Coturnix japonica: one gene and its partners. The protein of the gene in region 3 purifies or fractionates together with the protein of the main gene of each other region. This does not show direct contact. Links are inferred from orthologs where the notes say so. Each region holds a gene or a part of one and is shown on either strand. Other genes may lie near its edges.

The links.
Region 1: the proteins of MTF2 (region 3) and EZH1 purify together in Homo sapiens (affinity purification with mass spectrometry; 3 studies listed by BioGRID and IntAct, with this or other methods). This does not show direct contact. The link is inferred for Coturnix japonica from reciprocal best matches to the Homo sapiens genes MTF2 and EZH1.
Region 2: the proteins of MTF2 (region 3) and JARID2 purify together in Homo sapiens (affinity purification with mass spectrometry; 3 studies listed by BioGRID and IntAct, with this or other methods). This does not show direct contact. The link is inferred for Coturnix japonica from reciprocal best matches to the Homo sapiens genes MTF2 and JARID2.
Region 4: the proteins of MTF2 (region 3) and EED purify together in Homo sapiens (affinity purification with mass spectrometry; 3 studies listed by BioGRID and IntAct, with this or other methods). This does not show direct contact. The link is inferred for Coturnix japonica from reciprocal best matches to the Homo sapiens genes MTF2 and EED.

Annotation. Positions count from the first base shown.
Region 1 is NC_029542.1:4,621,450-4,627,368, reverse strand, and holds part of EZH1 (histone-lysine N-methyltransferase EZH1), read left to right. Parts: intron 1-236; coding exon 237-433; intron 434-890; coding exon 891-982; intron 983-1,574; coding exon 1,575-1,615; intron 1,616-2,106; coding exon 2,107-2,232; intron 2,233-2,629; coding exon 2,630-2,808; intron 2,809-3,399; coding exon 3,400-3,495; intron 3,496-3,872; coding exon 3,873-3,954; intron 3,955-4,103; coding exon 4,104-4,184; intron 4,185-4,566; coding exon 4,567-4,651; intron 4,652-4,768; coding exon 4,769-4,829; 3' UTR 4,830-5,919.
Region 2 is NC_029517.1:67,712,163-67,717,043, forward strand, and holds part of JARID2 (protein Jumonji), read right to left. Parts: coding exon 4,757-4,881; intron 2,776-4,756; coding exon 2,592-2,775; intron 2,000-2,591; coding exon 1,892-1,999; intron 258-1,891; coding exon 81-257; 3' UTR 1-80.
Region 3 is NC_029523.1:12,156,960-12,163,605, reverse strand, and holds the start of MTF2 (metal-response element-binding transcription factor 2), read left to right. Parts: upstream 1-2,644; coding exon 2,645-2,760; intron 2,761-6,646. Other genes in the region: DIPK1A (divergent protein kinase domain 1A), read right to left, coding at 2,256-2,351. UniProt on the Homo sapiens protein: Polycomb group (PcG) protein that specifically binds histone H3 trimethylated at 'Lys-36' (H3K36me3) and recruits the PRC2 complex, thus enhancing PRC2 H3K27me3 methylation activity.
Region 4 is NC_029516.1:170,401,192-170,407,110, reverse strand, and holds part of EED (polycomb protein EED), read right to left. Parts: intron 2,606-5,919; coding exon 2,513-2,605; intron 1,732-2,512; coding exon 1,666-1,731; intron 933-1,665; coding exon 807-932; intron 691-806; coding exon 609-690; intron 1-608. UniProt on the Homo sapiens protein: Polycomb group (PcG) protein. Component of the PRC2/EED-EZH2 complex, which methylates 'Lys-9' and 'Lys-27' of histone H3, leading to transcriptional repression of the affected target gene.

The DNA.
Region 1 (5,919 bases), on a different chromosome or scaffold from region 3:
ATTTGGCTGGACTGTGGTGCTGAGAACCCGACTGTGAGCCATTGAGGCTGAGGACTTGTGTGCAGTCTTGCAAGGCAATGGCTGCTTCTTCAGTGCTGGGACAGGCACTGGGCTTTTTCTGCCTCATGGGGCAGATTGGGCTCAGGCCCCTTGGAGCACTGCTGCCCTAGGAAACATGGATGGCAGAGTCGCATTCTTGCTCATCCTTGGTCCCTAACATCTGCCTTTCTCACCAGAGGCAAACTCCCGCTGTCAAACCCCTACCAAGCAGAAGCTGAGCCCGACCTCATCCCAGCTGTTTGCAGTGGAGGCACAGCAGGAGCCAGTCGAGTGGACAGGAGCTGAGGAGTCTCTCTTCCGTGTCTTCCATGGGACCTACTTCAACAACTTCTGCTCCATTGCCAGACTGCTGGGAACAAAGACATGCAAGCAGGTAGGGCCTGACATTCTAGTTTGGGCTGTATGCCCAGGGGAAGCAGGCATGGCAGCACCTAGCACAAGGGAAGGAAGCCTTTCTGCTGCTCACTTAATTATTTTTTTCTTCTCTGCCCCAAACAATTTTGAGGAAGGTGTTGCATCGACACTTTGGAAGTTCAGTGTTGTTATTTTACAGTACTGCTGTCCATTTCTGCTAGGTTTCTTCAGAGTGCTTTATGCCAGGCCTGGGTATATTGGCAAGTGGATTATCTTGTTTCCCAGGCAAGAAAAGCAAAGATGTCCATGACTTAATGAAACTGGGAGCAGAGTTGCACACTGTGCACACTTTGTGTGTGTGCTTATGCTTTCTTCATTTGTGCTTAAATAAAGGCAGCTTGAGTGCACTGAACTTTATTCTATTGTTTCTGTTCTTGGTTGTTTTTTTGTTGTTGTTTTTTGTTTGTTTTTGGTAGGTCTTTCAGTTTGCAGTGAAAGAGTCACTTATAACAAAACTGCCAACAAATGAATTGATGAATCCATCCCAGAAGAAGAAAAGGAAGCACAGGCGAGTGTTGGACAGCCTTGTTTTGTTCTTAAAATGCAACCAGATCCACTGCTTTTTGTGCCAAAGCATTCCTGGTAATCCGCATCTGGCTCCCATCTGCATACGCTTCTCGCAGTCACACAGGGCTGATTGTGCTGCTGGCTGAGAGCTGATCCCTGCTGTGTCACTGGTGCTGCCGTCCTGGTTGGGCAGCTGTGGGGTTCTATGGCCTCAGGCTCAGCCCTGGAGCAGAAGGCAGCACAGTGGATGTCTTGCACCAAGAGCTGCACTGCTGAAAGTCCGTTTCGCTGTCTTAACAGCAGTCTCTGCCTGAGCTCCCTCCCTGGCTTATAACCTACATTTTGTATGTAGTGTTATTCTGGCTTTCACATTTGCCTTAAATAACTTCAGCTGTAGCTGAGTCGTTCTCATCTTTCACCTCTTTGTGTCTAGCTGATGGTTATTAATGCATGAAGCTGCCAGACAGCCTTGCTGGACTCACTTGTCCCCTGCTGCAGTGCTAACTGGCAGTGCTGAACACAGTACCGGCCAGTTGTTCCTGATGGAGGCTTGTGACTCTCCCACCCCTGACACTTCTCTGCTTCTCTTCCAGGCTGTGGGCTGCCCACTGCAGGAAAATTCAGCTGAAGAAAGGTACTGTTTGCTGTGGTTGTGCTTAGACATTGTTTATGTGGTGGGGGCTGGTTCTCCAGCCCTGGCTTCCACAGCAGGACACTGTGTCCTGCTCTCCATAACAGCAGTTGCAGTGATGTGGGGGTGAGCTGCCCCCACTGCAGAGCCTTCTTGGGGGCCACCCTGGCTCTGCCTCATGCACTGCTGCCATGCAAGTGTTCTCTGCCAGGTTCTGAGTGCAGTGCAGTCCTTCTCTAGTCAGGAGGGATGAGGTTTGGCATGTAGTCTGTGTGAAATGGACTGTGCAGGGGTGTGTGTATGTGTCATACATTTGTAATTGGAGCAGTGTGTGGATGGATTTGGCTGAGCTGAGTGCTGCTGCGCTCCCCGCCCTCTGCAGGCAAATCAGGAACCTGCATGTGCTCTGCTCCAGAGCCCTGGGAATGCTGCTTTCTTTGAAGTGTTTCTGCAAAGTACAGCTTCTAATCCTGGCTTTTCTCCTATTGTTTTAGATAATTCACCTACCCAGGTGTACAACTACCAGCCCTGTGACCATCCTGAGCATCCCTGTGACAGCTCCTGTCCTTGCATTATGACCCAAAATTTCTGTGAGAAGTTCTGCCAGTGCAACCCTGACTGTAAGGAAAACCCTAGGATTGTCATGTATGAAAGCAGCTGCTCTCCTGACACAGACCAGAGGACGGGTGCAGACCTGGTGCTTAATGAAGGCTTGCTTTATTTCTGCCTTCACTTTTTGGTCTACCTGCAGCAGTGCAGTTACCAGTCTGATAAAGTCCAAAGGAAGGCTGTGGTCCATGATGTCCTGTAACATCCTGTAACAGCAGCTGGTGATGTGTTCCCTTGTTAGAGAACACTTGCCCGCATGTCTGTATCCAGAATCAGTAAGCCCTGGGTGATGCTGCTGATTGCATAAAAGGAGGTTGTATGGTCAGCTGAGTTGCTGCTCTGCCACACTTGTTTTTCCCCTTTTATGAAAAATCTTGTCATGCAGAAATATGGGTTGCATTTCTGCAGGTCAGAATCGCTTCCCAGGCTGCCGCTGTAAGACCCAGTGCAACACCAAGCAGTGTCCGTGCTACTTGGCCGTGCGGGAATGCGATCCAGACCTCTGCCTGACCTGCGGGGCATCAGAGCACTGGGACTGCAAGGTTGTCTCCTGCAAGAACTGCAGCATCCAGCGCGGCCTCAAAAAGGTATTGATAGGAGCATGGCTCTGGCAAAGGGCTGCCTCAGGGCAGAGTTGGTAAACAGATTTCCTGCTACAGAGGAGAGGCTGTGAGCCACTTAAAGCTGTCTGAGTGAGAAAAATCAAAAAAGAAGCTGCTCTGCCCCAGGCTTCTATAGCATTTAATCTAGAGTATGGATTACTGATGTGAAAATCAGGAGCTGGGAGATAAATGAGAATGCATGAAAACAAGGTAGTATAAAAAGTAACACCATAGAAAAGCTGAATTTTGCTGGTCGGAACAAAGTACTGCAGGTAAAAGAGGCAGAAATTCAGTGGGTGTTAAGTACTGTGCAGCTGCAGCTTATTGATGCTGTGACATATAACTGTGTCACATTACAGTGGGGAACTGGATAGATATTGACTTCTTGTTTGCTTCTCTGCATTATTTGCCCCCGTGGTACTGAGGACTGCAGCCTGCACAGCATGGCTACTTGTTTACTCCTGCCCTAAACCATACACATACACATACACCTGGGCTGTGACCTCTGCACTGCTTGCATGCTGGGCATCAGTGGGTCTGCCATCTGAAACTGTTTTCTTTTTTCCTTGGCTCAAGCATTTGTTGCTGGCGCCATCAGATGTTGCCGGCTGGGGGACATTCATCAAAGAATCTGTGCAGAAGAATGAATTCATCTCTGAATACTGTGGTGAGGTCAGTGCTTGTGCCCTTGCTGGGCGTGCTGTGCTGTGTGCTTGGGAGGACACACTCTGTTCAGCAGCTGATCCAGCAGGGACTGTGTGCCTTCTCTAGTTCAGTTACGGCCATGCACTCACTCTGACCCAGCTTAGAGGTTGAATCTTGTACCATTTTGGGACACATCTTAGTGTCTCTAGGCTCCCCACAAGGTGGTGTGTGCTGATCCCTTGAAGCCCAGCTATTGCTTCTACTTCTCCTGAGCCCTGGTGAGCTCCCACCCCTTTGCGGAGGGGCAGGAGGTGTTTTCTGGACATACAAGAGTGCTGTTTCTGACATGATCTTTACCATGCCTGCAGGCATTGAGGCTCTCTCAAGGCATTCTCTTTCTTCAGCTTATTTCACAGGATGAGGCTGACCGTCGAGGAAAGGTCTATGACAAGTACATGTCAAGTTTCCTCTTCAACCTCAACAATGGTAACTTGTGGGGGGCTTTCATGGGGTGGTGGAGGCTTGGGCTTCCTGGAAGGGGCTGTCAGGGGTTAGTCTCCATTCCTGCATTGTGTGAGCAGCAGCCTTGTGTTTACAGGACACTGCAGAGTTTTCTTCTTTCTTTGTTTCAATAGACTTTGTTGTTGATGCCACTCGCAAAGGAAATAAAATCCGCTTTGCCAACCACTCTGTGAACCCCAATTGCTATGCCAAAGGTGAGCTATCCTAACACAGGCCATTCAAGGTGGAAGAAGAATCTCTGGTCCTACTCAGCTCTAGGAACACAAGAAGTTCAGTGGGGTCCCAAGTGACACTGAGTCCATCACAGCTGCAGAGCATCAGAGACGTAGGCAAACTCTCCTTGTGGCTGCAAATCGCATTACTACTGCTGGGGCTCTGCTCAGCTCTGCTGTAGCTCTGTCCTTGCAGGGAGATCACTGCTAGAGAGCAGGCTAGGATGTTACTCCATTATGCTGAGCAGCAGTTCTGGAGCCTTGGCTCTGCAGCTGGCAATGGTCAGGCTGGGCTGTTGGTGCTCTGTGACCTTTGGACTTGGACTACAGTTGCACATCTCTGATATTGTCTCTCTGGTTGCAGTTGTGATGGTGAATGGAGACCACCGGATAGGAATCTTTGCCAAGAGGGCCATCCAGGCGGGAGAGGAGCTCTTCTTTGATTACCGGTAACACAGGGAGAGGCTGCCTGGGGACTGTGGGGCAGGGCTGACCTCACTTTCTGTGTGCACGTTTGCAAGGAGCACAGAGGTTGTTACAGCAGCTGTGGCTTTCCTGTTTTATAGGTACAGCCAGGCAGATGCCCTGAAGTATGTTGGCATAGAGAGGGAGACCGATATCATCTAAGCCGTGTGCTGGGCGATCCCCACACATTTTGCTGCTGCACCTTGTAAGCAATGCCATGTTTGCTTCACGCTGACATGACTGCTGCTCGTGTTCCCCTTGTTGTGTGTGTCACAAGTGCTACTTTCCACCCAAACACCTGGAGAGAGACTCAGGGCAGGAGCATGAGTGGCTGCCACCAGGACAGCAGCTCTGCCCAGCCCCAGGATGGGGCAGGTTCCAGCACCTTGCACTGCTGGTAATCTGGGCTGGAGGGACCAAGCAGCTGGGGCTTGAAGAAGAGCTGTGTTGCAGGAGGAGGGACAGTCGCCAGTTCTCAGTCTCTTTCCATTTTCTGTCAACTGCTAGAAGAACAAGAGTGAGTGAAGTGCACTGAGACCTGGAGGGCATGGCTGAAGGGTGACAGGGCTGGCATCCACCTCCAGCCCCTGTCTGGGACAAGCTCTGGTCTCTGGTGCTACCTTTTGCTGCCTGTTTTGTTGCATTGGCTAGGGCAGTGACAGCATTGGAAGCCATAGAGATGTGGCCACACTCCTGCACGTCGCTAGGCTCCACAGCCACTATCACTGGGGCTCTGTTTTCCCTCTGCCTCAGCTGGGCTGGACAAAAGAGACCACCAGCATGTGGCTCCTTGGGACAGGAAGAGCAGCACTATGCAAAAGTCTCTTTGGGCAGGGAAGCCTCTGGGCTGGTTAGAGATGGTGTTACAGGAGTGCTGCTGCAAGCACAAGAGGAACCCACAGGAAGCATGCACCCAGGAGCGTGAGGCAGCCTGCAGCATGCTCTCATGGCAGGTTGTGATTTCTTGCCTATCTGCACAGAATTGCTTGAGTGTTGCAGTGGTGAGGTGTGAGCAGAGCACAGCACTCGTACCTGCTCTGTGTGTTGACAAAGGGGAAGCTCTGGATGTTTCTGGCATTCTGGTGCTGGCCTTGGCTTTGGGGACAAGGGGGGAAATATTCCTTGACAAAGTGAGGTTTGGCATTAGCACCCCATGCAAAAAGAGAAAGAAAAAAGCACTTTAAATTGAGCCTTCTCAGTCAGGCAGCTGGGCCCCATGCACTGCCCAGGGTGCTCTCAGGTTGAGGGACCA
Region 2 (4,881 bases), on a different chromosome or scaffold from region 3:
GCAAGTACTCCAAACTATGGTATAATAATTACAAAAAATATATATAAATTGACAAAATGAGAGTGTTGGCATCTTCAGGATTAACTTGAAGCACTTTTGGATGAACTGGAGGATGAAAGCCTGGATGATGGCACGTCGACTGTCGCTCTCTTCCGAGGTCCTCTTTTTGGTGTGGGCTTGCTGATACAGTTCTCAATGCTGCCATTTTTACCAGATACTTTTCCACAGATTTGATTGACCAGACTGATTATTTGTTCCTGTTCAGGAAGTAGGAAAACAAAACACAAGTGAGCATCCTTCCTTTTTCCGAGCACCTCTGTTTGATAAAGCGGGTGTAGCGCCATCCTTTGGTTGACGGCACCTATAACCAGGGGGAAATAGCTGCTGCTTTGCTAACTGACTGCACGGCAGCCCATACGACCACTATTTCACAGGTGGGGTCTGCCTAAGAAGCAGTGCACTATACCTGGAATGGTGCCCCTGCTGTAGTTTCCTGCCTCTGAGTGCAGAGTCAGCGATGGGTGACAGGACTGCACCAGGCTGAGCACTGGGCTGCACAGATACAGCTCAGCAGAGCCAAAACTTTGCTGCAGACATGATTAAAGGCCACTGCTGAGCAAAGTCATAAATGCCATGAACTTACTGAAATCTGCAAGTGGCAACGCTTGCTACCTGCTGTTTACTGAATACTTATTTAAAACTTAGGGAGAAGGTCCTGCTTTTCCCTATTGAGACTGTTGCCATTTGTTACAGGATGCTATTTTCCGTTACTGCTTTTAAGGATCTCTGGATGCCCCAAGTGCTCCAGGCTAGTGCTTGGTGCCACACAGGGCCCAGGGCTATGGGTCCGTGGCAATACAGTAAGAACGAGACAGGAGTCCCTGAGCAGCACAGCACAGTGCCTGTGCTGCATCACCACTCCTGCTCTCGCTGCAGTCAGTGGCTCGGTGAGGTCTGGAGTGAAGGGAGAATGTCCCCTCCTGGCAGGAATCTTAAGAAGTTGGTTGTGGGCAAAGCACAGCTAACAGTTAAATAGGTTTAACAGATGGCATTTGACGTGAAGAATTGCTCTCTCTCTCCCTGTTCACAGCTCTCAAAAATAAATTATGTAACATCCAGCAGGCCTACACTGAGTATCCTTCAGAAGTGCAGAAATCGAGAGAGTCTTTTCATTTGGGGAAGAAATCCCCAAATCCCTGCTTTGTAATTATAAAACCAGTCATTACTTTATGTGGTGCTGATTAAGAGTGGCTCAATAGAGTTATCAGTACTGTGAAGACCCAGGATATAAGAGCCTAAATAAGCTCAGGAATTAAGAGAAATGTATTTAAATTTCCAAGGAGCCTTCTGGCACTCCTCAGTGTATATACCACAAAGCCAGCTTCTCTGTTGCCTGGAATCCTAGATTGTACCTGTTTGTAAGCTACAGCACCTGACAGCGCAATGGAGCCCACAGTGAAAATCAAAGATGGCCAGAATGGCACAACTTCTCCTAACTTTCTCTTTTTTTCTCCCCTCTGGACCTCTGTGCACATCAGTAGCTGCTGAGACATCCGCCTCAGAGCTGCTTGTTATCAGCACTGCTCTCAAAGAGCCAATTTTGTATTCTCCCATGGCGTCCCTACCCACGGCTCAGACTAACTAACAGCCCCTCCTCTGTCCAACCCACCCCCAAACACAGTTTTTCCACAGATGGTGCTGAACAGGCACGTAAGGAGCACTGTCTGAATGTACTGCAATGCAGCACTTGCCCAAAATCCCGACTCAGTCCTAAATCACTGCCGTGAGTTCCGTGCTCATTATCTATCTCCACATTGACTCCCAGCCATTTCTGTGAGCTCACATATATGAACCAGCAGCAAAAGAGAAAAGCTGTGACGACTGCACAAACCTCATCATAGCGGTACATCATTTTCAGTCCCCGACAAGACTTCTGTTTCTCCACATGCCGCAGGGCACACTCCAAGCAGAAGACAACGTTTTCATTCTCCTGTACAACCTACCAAAAAAAGAACACGTGGGGGAAATGCGGTGAGCTCCAAGCTGAAGCCAGAGTATGCTCCTTGTGATGTATCATTATACCTGTATATCACTGTAAATCAGTGAAGGGGGGAGTAAACAAGATGTGCATACATTGCAAGACGAGTGATAATGTTGGCAAATACTTACTAATTAAAAAACACCAGTAGCAACGAAGGATAAATCTAATTAATGTTACATGTATAAAGCCTTACTACTATCTAATGTGTGTCCTAAAAGCTTCTTGAAAGCAGCAGTTTCATGTCACTTTAAATTTTGCCCTGAGTTCAAGCAAAACCAGCAGTGTGGCCATGGGACCCCCAGCTACTGTCTGAGCCAGCAGAGGTCACACTCAGCTTCTGGCTGCCGCACTGACAAGTTCAGCCTGGAATTGAGCTGGTTGCCTTCGTGTCTCTTACTACCATTATGAATGACAAAGTAAAATCATTTCCTTGATTACATTTACATGACTTCATTGTCTCCCCAGCATCCAAATTTTTGGTTGGTTCTGGGTTTTTTTTGTTTTTTTTTTACAACTCGGTACCCCAGCTGCGGCTCAGGACTGTACTCACCATGGACAGATAGCACAGGTGCTGACAAATCTGACATCTTCTCTCCGACGTTTCTAACTGCAACCACTTTCGAGGCTTTTTCTTTCCATCCACTGCCGTGCTGCTGCTGTCATGGCTGCCATAGCGTGCCGAGGAGTGGAGACCTGCCTCGTAAAGCTGCCGCCGCTGCCTCAGCTCCGTGTCCCTGTGAACATTGGATGCAATCAGAAACCACTGGTTCCTCGTAGCACCACAAAGCCAACCAGCCAACCACAGTCACCCTTTTACCACCATCGTCACTGAAATCGTAACTGCACACAGCAAAGCCCTGAGTGTTGCTGGAGGTTGGTGCCATACCCTACGCATGCTGAGAGCCAGCCAGCACCACAGGAACACTGCCTAACTGCAAAATGTGACCACTGTATCAATCCAGTGGTTCTCAAACTGCTCCACAAAGCACTGGGGGCTGCCGAGTACTTCTTCGAGGTCGGTGGGGACCCAGGGCATGTGGAGAGCTGAGCCATGTAGCTGACAACACGGCTGCCTTTCCTGAAGTTGCCAAAAGCCACCTTGAGGAGGAGGAGCCGTTGCCCCCAGGAGTAGCACAGCCACCTTCAGCAGGAGGCCAGAGAACCAAGGATCTGCTGCCGGGAGGTGCGTCACGCAGGAAAGGGGGAGCAGGGCAAGCAACCGTGCCAAAAGACGAAGACCTTGCTGCATACCCAGGGGAAAAAGAAGGGGATATCAACTAAGAACAACCACTGAGCCCTCAGGCCGCCCTCCACCCGCTGTGTGTGCAAGGTGGCCAGCGCGTCCTGTACAGAACTGTACAGCGTTGCGGGAGCAGGTTGGGCCGGAGTAGCGTGGAGTGAGCTGAGCAGATGGAACGGGAGAATAGAGACGCTCGCCACCAGACACAGCCGAAGATGGGTGGAGAGCCATGCTAAGCAAATGGCATGGTAGGTCAGGAGAGGAGGCAGCGAGACACAAAACGAATAAGCAAAACAGAACAGAACAAAAAATATCTGGTGCATTGTTCCACTTTGGTTGTGCTTTTCTGGTTTGGGGTTTCGTTTTACATAAGCAGCCACAGGAAGGACTGATATTCTCCAGAGAATTCCAACCTCAGTATAAGAACAAGTTTGAGAACCACTCTGATAAAGGTCGATGTGATCTCTTACATCAAGCACCAACATCTCTGTTTCACCTTTCACACTTGCAGACTTTTCCTCTTCAAGGGGAAAAAAAAAGAAAAAAAAAAAAAGTGCGCATGGAAGTGATTATTCCTTCAGGGGAACCAGCTGCAGGTAAAGCAGTCAGCACACCTGGTAGGGGGAGTCAGCACACCTCTTTGTATTTCTTTCTGAACACTACAACAACACATGGGCTGTATTCCCCTTCAATATGTCACTGGAAACTTTCCAAATGAACATGCTAGTTAGTTAAATACAGTTTGTAGATTCCATTCATCAAAACTTTCTTGGCATCTCGAGTACCAGTTGTCACAAACTTGAAAGATAGGTAGCAACTACATGGTAGGGAACAAAAGAGAAGAACATTACACAGGAAGCCAGGCAACATCATATTTTCTATTTTACCTATCTTAAGAAAAACCCTAAACATGTTTCCTTAATCACTGTGGAGAGAAAAAGGAATGTGAAGCTTTTGTTTTTAAGTGTTTGCATGCATATAAGCTGCTCACTGACTGTTTAAAGAAAAAAATACCTCTCTGCATACATTCTTCAACTGCAGTATAACAATATTGATGCTGAAGACAAGGGTTCCTGCTGCAAAACCCATACTACTGGCATGGATTGACGGCAGCTACCGATGCCAAGAAGTTAAAAACTAAGCGGTACTTAACAGCTTGGCACCATGTAGCCCACATAACACATCAGGAAATCTTGACTCTCAGCACCAAGGATTAACAAAATAAAAACCCAAGCTAATCCGTACTTTAATTCTTTGACGGTGCCAGAAGTATGGAATTCTTAGAGTAAGACATCCTAACCACGGGCACCCTCACATCAGCCAAGGAAACTGCTTCTTCCACATGTGGCTGTCTTCAAATAGATTTGCTTGGTTAAGTAGGTGCGAGATACTTGTCTAAAATGGTTACTTACATTACCCACCTCTGGAGTCTGCCAATGAAAAGAAAATAGGTACAACAGGCCCCGATTCGTTACCTGAGCTCTCCAAGAAGTGATGATATCGTACTCAGAGTCGGTCCATTTTCCTTTTTTGCTTCTGCTGTTGCAATCTGATAAAGCAACTTTTCCATTGAAAATGGTTTGGCTATACGTCGTCTCTT
Region 3 (6,646 bases):
AAGAGCTTACAGTGCACACTTTGGATGACGCTGTTGTCTTCATTCACTTGTATCCTAAGCAGTCAAGCTGAGCAAACAGCATAGGGCATATCTTCTGAAATAAAGGATAACAATCAAGGCAGAAAACAGGATGTTTCCACTTAAAAGGTTAAACAACAAGAAGAGAATTAAAAGGTTGGAGGAAATGATGGTGATACATCAAGGGGGCCTTTGAAACCTGGGCCTTCAAAGTATCGTCTACATTACAGGCACCTACGTGACATCCCTAAAGAGTCTGTAAAGGAGGTCCAGAATCTCTAGCGGCCAGAAAGCTCCCAAGCACAGCAGCATTCTGTACAAGATTATTGATGTGTGTAATCCTACTGGCTTGACCTCAGCCTCACAATACAGTTATTAACTACAGTTACCGGAAAGAAACTCAAAACCACATTTCCCAAATTTGGGACATCCACGTCTTCTCAAGTAACATTAATCACCACTGCAGAGAGGCATCAGTCTCCCAGCTGTAAGATCCAATAAATAATACTGATATTTCTGGTCAGTATTTAGGCCGTTAGAAGATTGTCAAGGTTTGGAGCTTTTTGCTCTAGTTTTATTTGGTTTACTATTACTGCAAGCCTTGCAGACTAAATGGGGAAAATTCTGTATTTAATAGTCACTGCCCATTTTGCAACTAAGTTTTAGTGCTGTTTTTGTGGATCCCAACCACTAAACTTTGAGCTGAGGCAGGACATCCTCAGAGTTTGTCCTGCTCACTTTATACAAGTTGAGGCTGTTTGGCAGCACCCTGCCCTTAGCTAGAAAGACTCAGTGATTACCTATGGATAGCACATACTGCACGCGAGCTAAAGCACATGTCAAATAATAACAATAAACAATATCAGAACACTTGGCACAGAGCACAGGTTGCAAACCAACCGACAGCACCTTGCTCCTGCTACAGGAGCAGGAAAGTCAGAAGAGGCACCAAGTTCCTAGTGCAGAACTTCATGTTCTCAACTCATCCCACAGCACAGATTTCAAAAAGCACGGAACACCAGCCAACAAAATCTGGAAGTCAGTCAGCAATGCTTTCCATTGTACAACCCCCTGCCCTGCTCTGCCGCATTAAATATTGCATAGCAACACCACACAAGTCTTCAAACTTCCATCTCACTCGCAGCTGTATCTCAGTGAGTTAAGCCGAGCATTTCATTTGAGAGCAGTGGCCTCTTTGGAGGCAAAAACTCAACACAGCACCCCGTGAGTAATCAGTACAACTCAACCATGAATGCATTTGTCACGTACCAACAGCAACACGCAGCCACAAAGTCAATACATTGACAGCCTGCTGCCGCTGCATGGACACATCAACTGCCACCACACATCGAGCTATGGAACAGAAAAGAAAGGCCATTTTCATGAAGCTGATGGTAGCTCTCCTCCAAACAAATCTGCAAAATATTCCAACACAGTTTTTAGTGCGACAAAGCTTCAACAGAAATACTTCTACATCTCCAACAGAAACAAATATTTAACCTCTCCGGCTTGACTAAGAAACGACACACTTTGCTAAAAATGCCCTTAAATGTTGAGAATAAATGAAAACAAATGGTTATCCAATGTCACATACAACGAACAAAGTAGAACTTACATCAAGGCCAACAATTAGCAGAGTCCTACTTTGAAAGCCAGTACAGACATGGTGAACTCATTTTCATCTCATGCGTACCAGAGCCTTCCTCCTATGGGAACTGAAAAGTGTCTGCTTTGTTAAGGAGATCAAGGACAACGTTTGCTGGTCTAAAATCAAGTGATACGTGACCCACATTTGTGGATAGAACTGCTGAAGGGGCTGAGCTTACACCTGTACCCGCACACTGCTCCTCAGCTGTCACAGCGCATTTTGGGCACTTCGAAAAGGAGAATGGCATCAGAAAAGCTCCAGATGAGAAGGAATTAAAGCACTCGGGCCTTTACTATGCATAAGGATGAAGCCCCCTTTTTTTTCAATAAACCAATTATTAGAAAGCTTTTAATAATATAGCAGCAGATGACAGATACAGATATATGTGCTACAGATAAGTAGCGTGTGTATATAAATATCACGTTTACCCCCTCAACTCACTCAGCTGAACTGCAAACGAGTTAAAGCCCAGCAAAACAAACAGCAGAAGCCCCGAGCACAGCCCCCTGCGTACCACCACCACCGGGCCCTCGCCGGCGTCTCTCAGCACAGCGCTTTCGGCCCGAGCACCGCTCCGCTCCGCGCCTACCTGCGTAAGTCGAGGCGGGAGCTGAGCCCAGGGCTGAGGGCTGAGGGCTTTGGGCCGCCCGACGGCTCCCAGCGGTTGGCAGCGCTCAGCGCTCATTGCTCCGCAGCGGACGGGAGGCCCGCGAGCAGCGCCCCGCTCCCGCTCCCTCCCCACACCTGTTCCCTGCCCCTCCGGCCGCGCCGCCTCCCGGCCCCGGCGCCACCGGCCCCACATCGACGGCGCGGCCGAGCCCCGGCGGGGGGTGGAGCGGCGGCCGAGGGACGCGCTGAAGGCGCCCGGCCGTCAGGGGACGGAGCGAGGGAAACCGCCGCCAACGGGCCGCCCAGCGCCGGCCTACCTGAGCGTGGGGGGGTCTCCTGAGCCAGGCTCCCGCGAAGAGCCGCCTGGCCATGGCAATCACGCATCCCCGCAGCGGGCGGCGGACGGAGGCGGAGCGGAGCGCGGCGCTTCCCCGCCCGGCCTGTCCAAGGAGCCGAATCGCCGGCGAAGGGAGGACGAGGAACGCGTAAGACACGCAGCGCCGGGCCGGCAGCTGTCAGCCGCGGGGACGCGCCACGGGGAGGGGAGGGAAGAGGAGAGAAGGGGAAGGGAGGAACGCGGCCGCCCAGGGCCGGAGGGGGAGAGCGGGCGGGGCGGGGCTGCTGCTATCCCCGCCCTGCGCTGAGGGAACGGCCCGTGGGCGCCGGGCGCTGCGCCGAGCGGAGCGGGGCTTCCTGCGCGGGCTGTGTCCGTTCGAACTGGGCAGCTCCGAATGACTGAGTCCGTTAATGAATAACGTGCCCCGCTGATTGCAGGCAGGTTCCGTCTGCCACTCGCTGGGCGTTAGAACCAGCTGAGGGCCCACTGGGCCCACACAGTTAAGGAGGGAACCCCGGCCCTCCGCACCGCCGCGCTCTGCAGGCAGGTGCGTACCGTGCTGTCCCTGTGCTACGGCCTCACACTGCGTCCGCTAACAGCGACAAGAGCGAGTTTGCTGATGGAAGAAAAAATACATGATTACGCTTGTCATAGCCACAACCTGTGACCGTAACGGCGGGCAGGTCGGGTCAGGCTGCTAGGGAAGGGCCAGGCACACCGGGCAGGCCTTGAGCCTCACTGCGTGACTGTGGCAACAGTCCATAGCACTGCTCCTCCTCACAGTGGGTTTGGAAGGAAAGCTGAGCCAGGAGGGATGTGGCATTGGCCTCATCTGGTCTCTTGCCCCACAGCAGGGCGAGAATTAGGTGCCTCCCACAGCTTCACATAGTGTGGAACGTAGCAGACTAACTGCCATTAGTAGTAACGTGATTTGGTTCAAGTGTAACTGCCCTTAGTCACATGAATTTTAACTTGCTTCCATCTGGTCACATGTATGACTTAGTTACCTCCTTAGCAACAGGTCAGAAGCTATAGGGGATTCCTGATGCTTTTTGGCTGTGAGGCTTTGGGTGAAAGGATTACAGCACAATGTCAGGGGAAAAAAAATGATTGTAACATGCTCTGGCTTTTGGCGTTGTGTGCTGCTTTAATTAAAAGAAAGGATACAGAAAGATGGCATAAGAATAAGTTGTGGTGTCCTAGCAGGGATTAGTCTTAAGGAAAGATACATATCTAGAAACCAAATGTTATGAGGTCATAGAGTATTAAAAATCAGCAAGATTTAAAGAGTAAAATCTTTAAGATTCAGGAATAGTCCATGACTGCTTTTTGAATAATATAATCACTGCCAGACTCAGCTCACTCTGAAGAATAAATCAGAAAATTAATTAGTAAGATTTGGCACTCCTGCAAAAGCAGCCCTGGTTTTAATAACACTCTTGCAGTGAGAGTGTTCTCTTCCTATTCAGCAGGCCCAGATGGCTGTGCTTTCTGCATCACTTCCCTCTACAGTTCAGTAGTTTGTACGAGCTTAGTGAGATTACAGGCACGCAATGGAAAGGTGACACCAGGAAACTACAGAGCAGGCATTTAAACGTTTTGCTGAATAATCTCAAGTAATTACTTCATCTAATGTTCTGTGTCAATCCTTGGAAGGAGAGGCTGAGAGTAATCATGAAATGTGCTTCTCCCATATGGCAGGCGAGGACGTAAATGTTTTGTTTCTGTTAAGACTGGATCAAAACAGTTCCTGGCATATGTTCATTAGGGGATATATTTTTCACTTAGTGCATGAGATCTTAGTCATTTGTGAGAGCAGCTGCTTTATTCCGGCACTGCAGTGTTTAGTTATTCTTAAAGTCCTCTTTGTGTCCAGGCTTTACTAGATGATAAAAAGGCAATTTCAGCCTTTTTCAGCTTATCCCTTAAACACCAAACTCCCAGTTAAGCCTTGGTAAATGCAAAGCTTGTGGCATTTTGCATGTGCAAATGTAAATGGATATTTTAAAGACCAGGGAATAGATGCAATAGAACATAAGTCATAGTGATGTATTTACTGAACCGTTTTTCCATTTGCTCACGCTTTTCCATTCTGTAGTTCACACATTATTCATTTTTGTATGGCAATAACACATCTCAAATGCAAAAGCAGTTGAAGTTACGCTGATTTATTGCTACCTGTTAATATTTGCTTCCTATCCAGCCTTGCAAAGATTGGAGAGACAAATCCACTGATGATTATACGTATGCACTGTTTATCACTCGGTGTTAAAGGTAAATGTGGCCTTATAATAACTGCATACCATCACTTCCAGTACTGTGACAACTTAACAGTCACTGCATACTAAATAGGACTCAGGAAAAACTAAGAGCTGTTACATGTATTGAAGCATCCAGGAATTTTGGACAAGCAATATTTGACTAATAAAGATAATAGAAAACTATAGAAAAATCTACATTCTTCAAGGTACTTATTAAAATTCTGCATTATATTAATAAAGATGCACATTATATCTAAGTTCTTCTGATGGAAGGATCTGTTACTTGAGCAAGTAATACAGGTTTTATCATTTTATTTTAAAGCTAAACATTAACTTATTGCAATGTAACTGAGCTTGATTCTCACATAGGAGACTCCATGGGAAATCCTCAGGGTTCACACATTCTTATCACCATCATATTAATGCAGGACGCCTCTGGCTAATGTTAGTAATCATAAGATTAATAATGTTAATAATCACAGACTTCCATACAGCAGCTTTACAAGCTTTACCCACAAAGCACAACTTCCTGCATTAGCACTCTTACCCAGGATATGCCAAAGAAATGTTTTGTCATCCTGGGCAGCATCTCAGCTTAACCCCCAGTAGGAATGGAATGTGTCAGCATCTGCCAGTTACCTTTTGTTTTTTTTAAAGTTTAATAACTGTATTTACATGGTAAACAATGCGTTAATGATTTTAAAATAAAACTGCTTTTCCTAAAATGAAGTCTATAAGGGTGTCAAAGTTTCACTCTTTGTCCTGCCTGGCTGTCAAGATGCACATTCAGAGATCTAGCCAGGAATTTGGTTTTATTCTGACTCCATCATCCGGTTTGTCAATGTGGAACAGAATGAAGATCTGGGGACACACTCGTCAGACCTAAATTCTTCCTCATGTTCCATTCAGAGTGAGATTCTTTCCCTCTCCTGTAAACTTCTCTGAACTCAAATTTAATCAGTGCATAACTTTTATTTTATCCTTTTTTATCCTTAAATATTATTTCCTATTGCATTCAAATTCTTACTAGTGTCAGTGCTTCTAGAGAATACATAGGTGGAGCCATCTCTTACTCAGAGAGCAAACAAAGCCTGTTAAGGATTCCCTTGTGGCTTAACTTGTTGTAAGCAAATCATTAATCTATTTGAGGAAGCAGCATCTTCTAGCCAGCAAGTTTTATTTCTAAGGCCATACTTATAAATATATATAAATCTGGCCTCCTGCAGCAGCAGAACACATTCCTCTTGCTGCTTACTTTCATTCTTGCGTTGGCACAACCATTTCTGTTATTGTGTTAAGAACTAGGACAATAATTTCAACTATGAACTGTTAATCGTACTTCATTTTTTCCCTGGGTTAGGTCAGACAGCCCAATTCCTTTCATCAGTGTCTTGGACTTATGCCAAAATTGAAGTGGCTGTTTCTAACCACTGAAGCTTTTATCTTATTTAAACATATCTGTATCAAAAATTGTGTTTTATTACAGATAGATAAGTGACAAATACATGCGACTCATTGCTAGCTCTTCACTGAGATGAGATCCTAGTATTATTAGACATTCAAAGATGCTGATTAAGTTGGGATAAAGGCTCTCCAGTCCTTGCTTTGAGAGTCTGTCCACTAGCTTTTCTGGTATGTTGTTTAAAATTCAGAATACACTAGAAAAATTAAAATGCTTACGGTAAATAAAACTTACTAACATGTTTACAGTAAATAGGTCTCCACAGATTGAGAATAAAAATCTTTATCAATTCGATTCCTTTAAGGATTAGA
Region 4 (5,919 bases), on a different chromosome or scaffold from region 3:
ACACTGATTACACTTCAGTCAGAAGTCCCCTTATGTTACCAGCTCTAGTATTCCTGAAGGCTTGCTCCTGAGGCAAATCAAATATCCCCTTACTTAACAAAACAGTCCAGATTAGGAAACTGTGATTGTTTAGACTGGACAAGTCTATGAGACATCACAGCATAAACTTGCTTCTTTTTTCACGAATGCCCTTTTCACTCAAAGTCCTAAGGAAGTTTTCCCTTTGCAGGCAGTGGTGAATACTATCTGCAACACTAAAATACGCCCACTAGATGGCACCAGGCTTCAACAATTGAAAGAAGTTGAAACCAAGTAATAAAGGTAAGAAAAAACAACTCCAGTGCTTGCATTTCTTTCCTGAAAAAACAGTGGTGTACACAATCCCTTCGCACCACAGGTATTTTTTTTATTGTAGGCCATGGATTTAAAATGTATCTAATACATATCCAAGAAGACCAACGCTTGCTCTAGACTTCCAAGGTAAACTTGTTCAATCCCACTAGTAAAATTTTCAAAGAATTGAGAGATTTTGGCCATTTTCAAGATCAAAAATCCAATCAAAAGTATCCTGATTTGTACAACAACATAAGTGGTTTTTTTTTCCTCACCTTTGCTTACAGATAAAAGGAGATTTGGATCTCTTGGATGGAATTTCAGTTCATTGATTGCATTTCCATGACCCACGTAGTGCTGGGATAGAATTCAGAGACCAAGTTATAATCTCCCCTCACATTTACATGTACTTAGAAGACATGTTTCATGCCTTACAGAAACATAAGCTTCATTTCAAAGTTCTGAGCACTTACCTTTATGCACTGCATTGTAATAGGATTAATTATCCTAATAATACCCCTGGATCCTGCCACAGCAAGGAGAGGATGGCTTGTATTACTATCATATGTCCATGCACAGGTATAGAAGTTTTCATCTGCCTGCATCTTACGTTAAGGAACAAAGAAGAGACTGGAGGTTTTTGTTTTGAGCAAAATTAACTTTAAATATATTTTTAAAGTGCTTTTCCAAGCAAACTTGTTGTCCATGTGTCCACAAATGGATCCAAGAATAATTAAAAAAAAGAATATTTGATCATACAACTGCAAATAATAATCAGTACTGACTTTCCTAGAGATTTCCTCACTTCTGTTTATAAAACACATAAGGACACCTTTCTCTTGGCATCACTTTTCAATCTTTCTCCAAAATATCAAAAGACTGGGAATAAAAATGAGGATGAATCAAGACCCAGTCAGAAATCAGTAACCTGTGAACTGCAACTGATCAACAGAAGTTATTACCACTTCAGAGCATGAAACATAATTCTTAGGCTTGAAATCCAGTTCCAATTCAGAGAGCTGAGACCACTGTAGAACATGGAATGTGAAACTCTGCACAAATATTGGTGTTGGGAAGACTGAACTGACAGAGAATCAGTTTTCAAATACTTTAAGACAGCACGTTCCATGAGTCTGCATTTCTGATATTATTTCAATACGAAAGACTCGAGGATGTGGGAAAGACGAAAGAAGGCTAAGACCCAATAGGAGGAATGTGCCACATGAGCAGGGTATTAAATCACAGAAAAGCCTCTGTGTTCTTTTTCCTACAAAGCCTTCACTATTATGATGAAGAGGAATCAAGCAAGTGTGTTTTTACTTAAAAGGATACATCAGCATCCACATAGGACTGTAACAGGCGGATTTCTCCTTGGGAGTGGCATTCATATAAAGTAACCTGGGGAAAGAAAAAAGTGAGAGGGATTGTTACTTACTTGTGATAGTACAAGAGAAAACCAAATACACCTGTGCACTGTGCTGTTTGTGGAATGGCAGTATGCTTCTATGGTTTAGCTCTCATCTCACCTGTTTATCTAACAGTGGGTTTAATAAAACAATGTGCCCAACAGTTTTAGTAAAGCAGCATTCCAGGACTTGCTAGCAGCCCTTCCCAGATATTAAAATATACTCTTTGAATATTCTCTACTTATAACTAGTTACTTCATCACCTCTAACCAGACCTAGTCTTTACATGAGCATTTGATATACAGTTAATTTTAGTTTAGCACTTTTGTCAGGTTGGACAAACCTGGAAATGAGAGACTTCTTGTTTATGTGGAACACTTCCATAGGAGGAACTTGAAGACTAAAACAATGTAGAGTCTTGTTCAGAAAAAGCCTATAAAATCAGGCTATCAATTAAGCCTTCTAGAAACAGTAACATCTAAGAAGAATAATTTCAGTGAGAAGATACATTTATGCACCTGTCTTCTTTAACATATGTTCATGTTACTAGCAAAATTTTAATTACCACAGAGGCTAATTCCCAAGCAGCTAAGGCATGGCATCATACTGTAATTCAGAGGCAGAACATCTCCAAGATAACAGACACTACATACCTCATAAATACGGCTTTCTATGCAAGTCACCGTATGTTAGTACTATACACAGGTAAGGGGTTTCATTGAAAAAAATGAATGCAAAGAAAAGCAACAGGAGGTTGAAAACAAGTTACTTACTCTGTTGCTGCCTACAGTGGCAAAAACAAGAGGATCGCCTTCTTTACTGTGCCAGTTAAACTGGACTCCAAACAAAGGCTGACCATGGTCCTCCTGCAGATGTAAAGCAAGGTTAGAAAAAAAATAAAGCTCACAAACACATTATTTCTGTGAAATTCAGCTGTAATGGGAAACAAATTGTTATGTTTTCCCCCCAAACTACTAGGTTCACACCCAATATAATTTCATATAGCGAACAGTTAAGAAGAACAGTTTTGTAACATCACATTCTAATTTGGCTGTCTTCACAGAGGATAAAGCAGTATTTCTTTCCTCTCAACAAAGTTTTAAATTCTAAGGGAAGAACTGTTGCCTCACAGCTGAGAACAGAAGTTGGCCCAACTACTGCTTACTCTGCTTTGCATCTTTCAACAAGGAAACCTCCTAAGGTCACGTCTATAAGCACTTTATATTGCTGTAGTTACTTTCACACAGGGATTTACAACATCACAAAGGAGATCTGTTAGGATTGAGAAGAATTATACTGGTGTAAGGGTGGAGAAGGGTTACATTTCACTATTACAGCACAGTTAGGTCTTGCAACTCTATCACAGGCACAATGAATTAACTCCAGCATATCACAAAGCTGCTGCAAAGTTCATGTCTACAAAATGTTTTCAGATCTCCTTCACAAACAGTTATCAGAAGAATGTCAAGTATTATTTTTATAACATTTTACATCAGTTTAAGGGGGAGGGAGGGGGGAAAGAAGCAGATATGTTTACAAATCACAATGAATATGGTGGTGCTTGTTATTAATTGATAACAGTATTTTGGCCTGTTCTGACAGGATGTTTTCAGCAAGAATAATGTTCATTAAAGTGCCTCCCCACAGGGGACTGTCTGGGACAGTACAGGCAGGAAGGAAGTGTCTCATGATGGCTGTTAAGCAGCCTTCAAATGGCAGTGCTTCAGAGACAACATGAGAAATATTAGCCCTGGCAGCTCTGACCCATACAGGAACCACAAAACAAATTTGAGGAGGGGGTATGGGGTGAGGAATTCAATTCTACTCAAAAACAAAACAAAACAAAAAAGACTTGCTAAAAAGGAAGTTAGAAAGAATTTGAACTAGGCCATATTTACTGGGAAATGCAGTATCTGTTGTTACCTCAATGGGGACAGCTAGAAGAGCCAAGTGAAAAAAATAGCTTTGAGTGAAGGCCCTCCTGCATCTCATAAGGAGAGGCACAATTTTCAAAGCTGAATACAAATTAAGAAAGCATGTTTGAAGTTGAACTCTAAGCATTAGCCACTGTAACATTAAAGAACAGGTAGCTGTTTGATGGGGAGCGTGGGAAAAGTAGCAAGGTTATTAGTAACCCCAGTACAGAAGAAAAAAGAGGAGGTATTCATCACTAGTACAGCGTTAAAATTAAATTAAGAGACACAGAATTAGGAAAACACCAGGGTATCTGCCTGAAGTTATGCTTACCTCATTTAAACTACCATCATCCTCACTGGTCAGAAACAGCACGTGCTATTTTGATAACACTGATAACTGTTTTAATCTTTGTACCTGCTGCTTACTAGGTTTTCAAAACATTACACTATTAGGTGCTGCATGTTAGTTATCCTGAGAGGCTGGATCTGTCACAACAACCTGACTCCTGGCTTTATAGACAGTTTGACCCAGATATAACAGTAGAATGGTGAAAAGCCACTTTGACCCTGGTATAAATAAAAGGCATGGACTCAAGGTACTTGGGTTCTTCATGCACCAGAAAGAAGGCAAAGAAACAGATCCTACAGTTGCTATAAAGGTAAACAGATAATCAGCAGTTGGTTCTGCCCTCACTCACTAAATAGCAGCTCAACTTCGGCCAGACAAAATAAGGTTAGGCCTGTTTTTAGACAGAAGGCAGCGAAATAAACACTAAGCCAACACAAAATAATCACCTGCAAGTACATGAGCCCATTTTAAAATATCATCACCCACACTGCTAGTGAGGCACAAACTGACCACACATGCATTCCTGGTTCCTGAAGGGGAAGCAAACTACCACTAGAAGTGGTTTTAGCTACTTCTCCCTTACTCGACAACAAACTAGAATCCAATTCCCAGGTCCAGGGATAGAAAGTAAAAGCTGAGATACTCCATTCAACAGCTAACAGCTATTCAACCACACCCTGAACAAGAGGGAAGGGTAGGGCAAACTGGCATTGTTCTGAAGGGAGCACATCAAAGCAAAATTCCTCTTTGCTGGAAGATCTAGAAGAAAAATTATATGCAGAAGTGAGGATGTACTTTGTTAGTTGTATGTGCTCATTTATAAACTGTGTCGCCACTCAGCCCACGGACAGCAAAGACTTTTTCAGTATACCTTCCAGTAATGTAGTGCTGTAAAAAGCAATAAAATAAAGCACTTTTTGCTTTCCTGTTATTTTCCAAGTTATATATTTGTTTGCTTGATGCTTAAATTTCAGCCAAAATAGCTTCCACACTAGTGGTTAAAAGGCATATTTAGCAAGCACTGTGTTTTTCAGACTGAATCATAACCATCTGACATTCAAAGTAGTCAGCAATGGCCATGTTTCTTTGTCTTCAGGAGGAGAGAAGAAAAACAAAGGAGAGAGGGAAAACTAAGAATAGGAAAATGAAAAAAAAAATCTATACATCTCTAAAAAATATTAAAATGAATTTCTATGTCTTTAAATCACGTTGACTTTTCATTTATATCAGTACGTCCATCTTACAGCACAGTTCAAAGACAGAATGAGATGCATTATGTGAGATCCAATGAGTTTAATGTCCCTCTGGACCAACACACAATATTCAATTGTTACAGTTTATCTAAATAGCATCTGAAATATTAAGAATAAGAAAAAAGAAGTGAGGCTTCCCCAAAAATGAAGTAAAAAGAATTACCTAACCTGGCTACTATTTGTTCTTTAAACCAGTTCAAAGAGAAACTAGAAGACTTAGAAATATTATATCTTACTTAGCTGAAATGCTATATTTACTTTCTGTGTTTTACTCTGCCTGCACAGCAACCTGTTTCCAGGCCCTGATCCAAGTCCTTGAAGCTGGGAATTAACCACACAGGGCGATCTTTTGGGTCACCCCAGAGTAGGTATGAGAGATGCCCTGTTATTCCAGAGTACCCTTGAAAAGTACTAACCAGTTTGGGATGTCTGTGGAAAGAACACAAATATGCTCAGCATTACTCAGATACTGCTAAATGTTTGGGTGCTGAAAGGCCCACAGCCCTATTTGAAGCAAGACTTGAAGCCATAGAAAGCACCATCTGTGGGGGTGATTCATGTGAACCATAGAGCTGCTGCCTACCTGGTTGAAAATGAAAGATCTCCTCCACTCTGAAAGAACCAGAGATTATTTTACACCTCAAAAAGCACATTAAGATCAA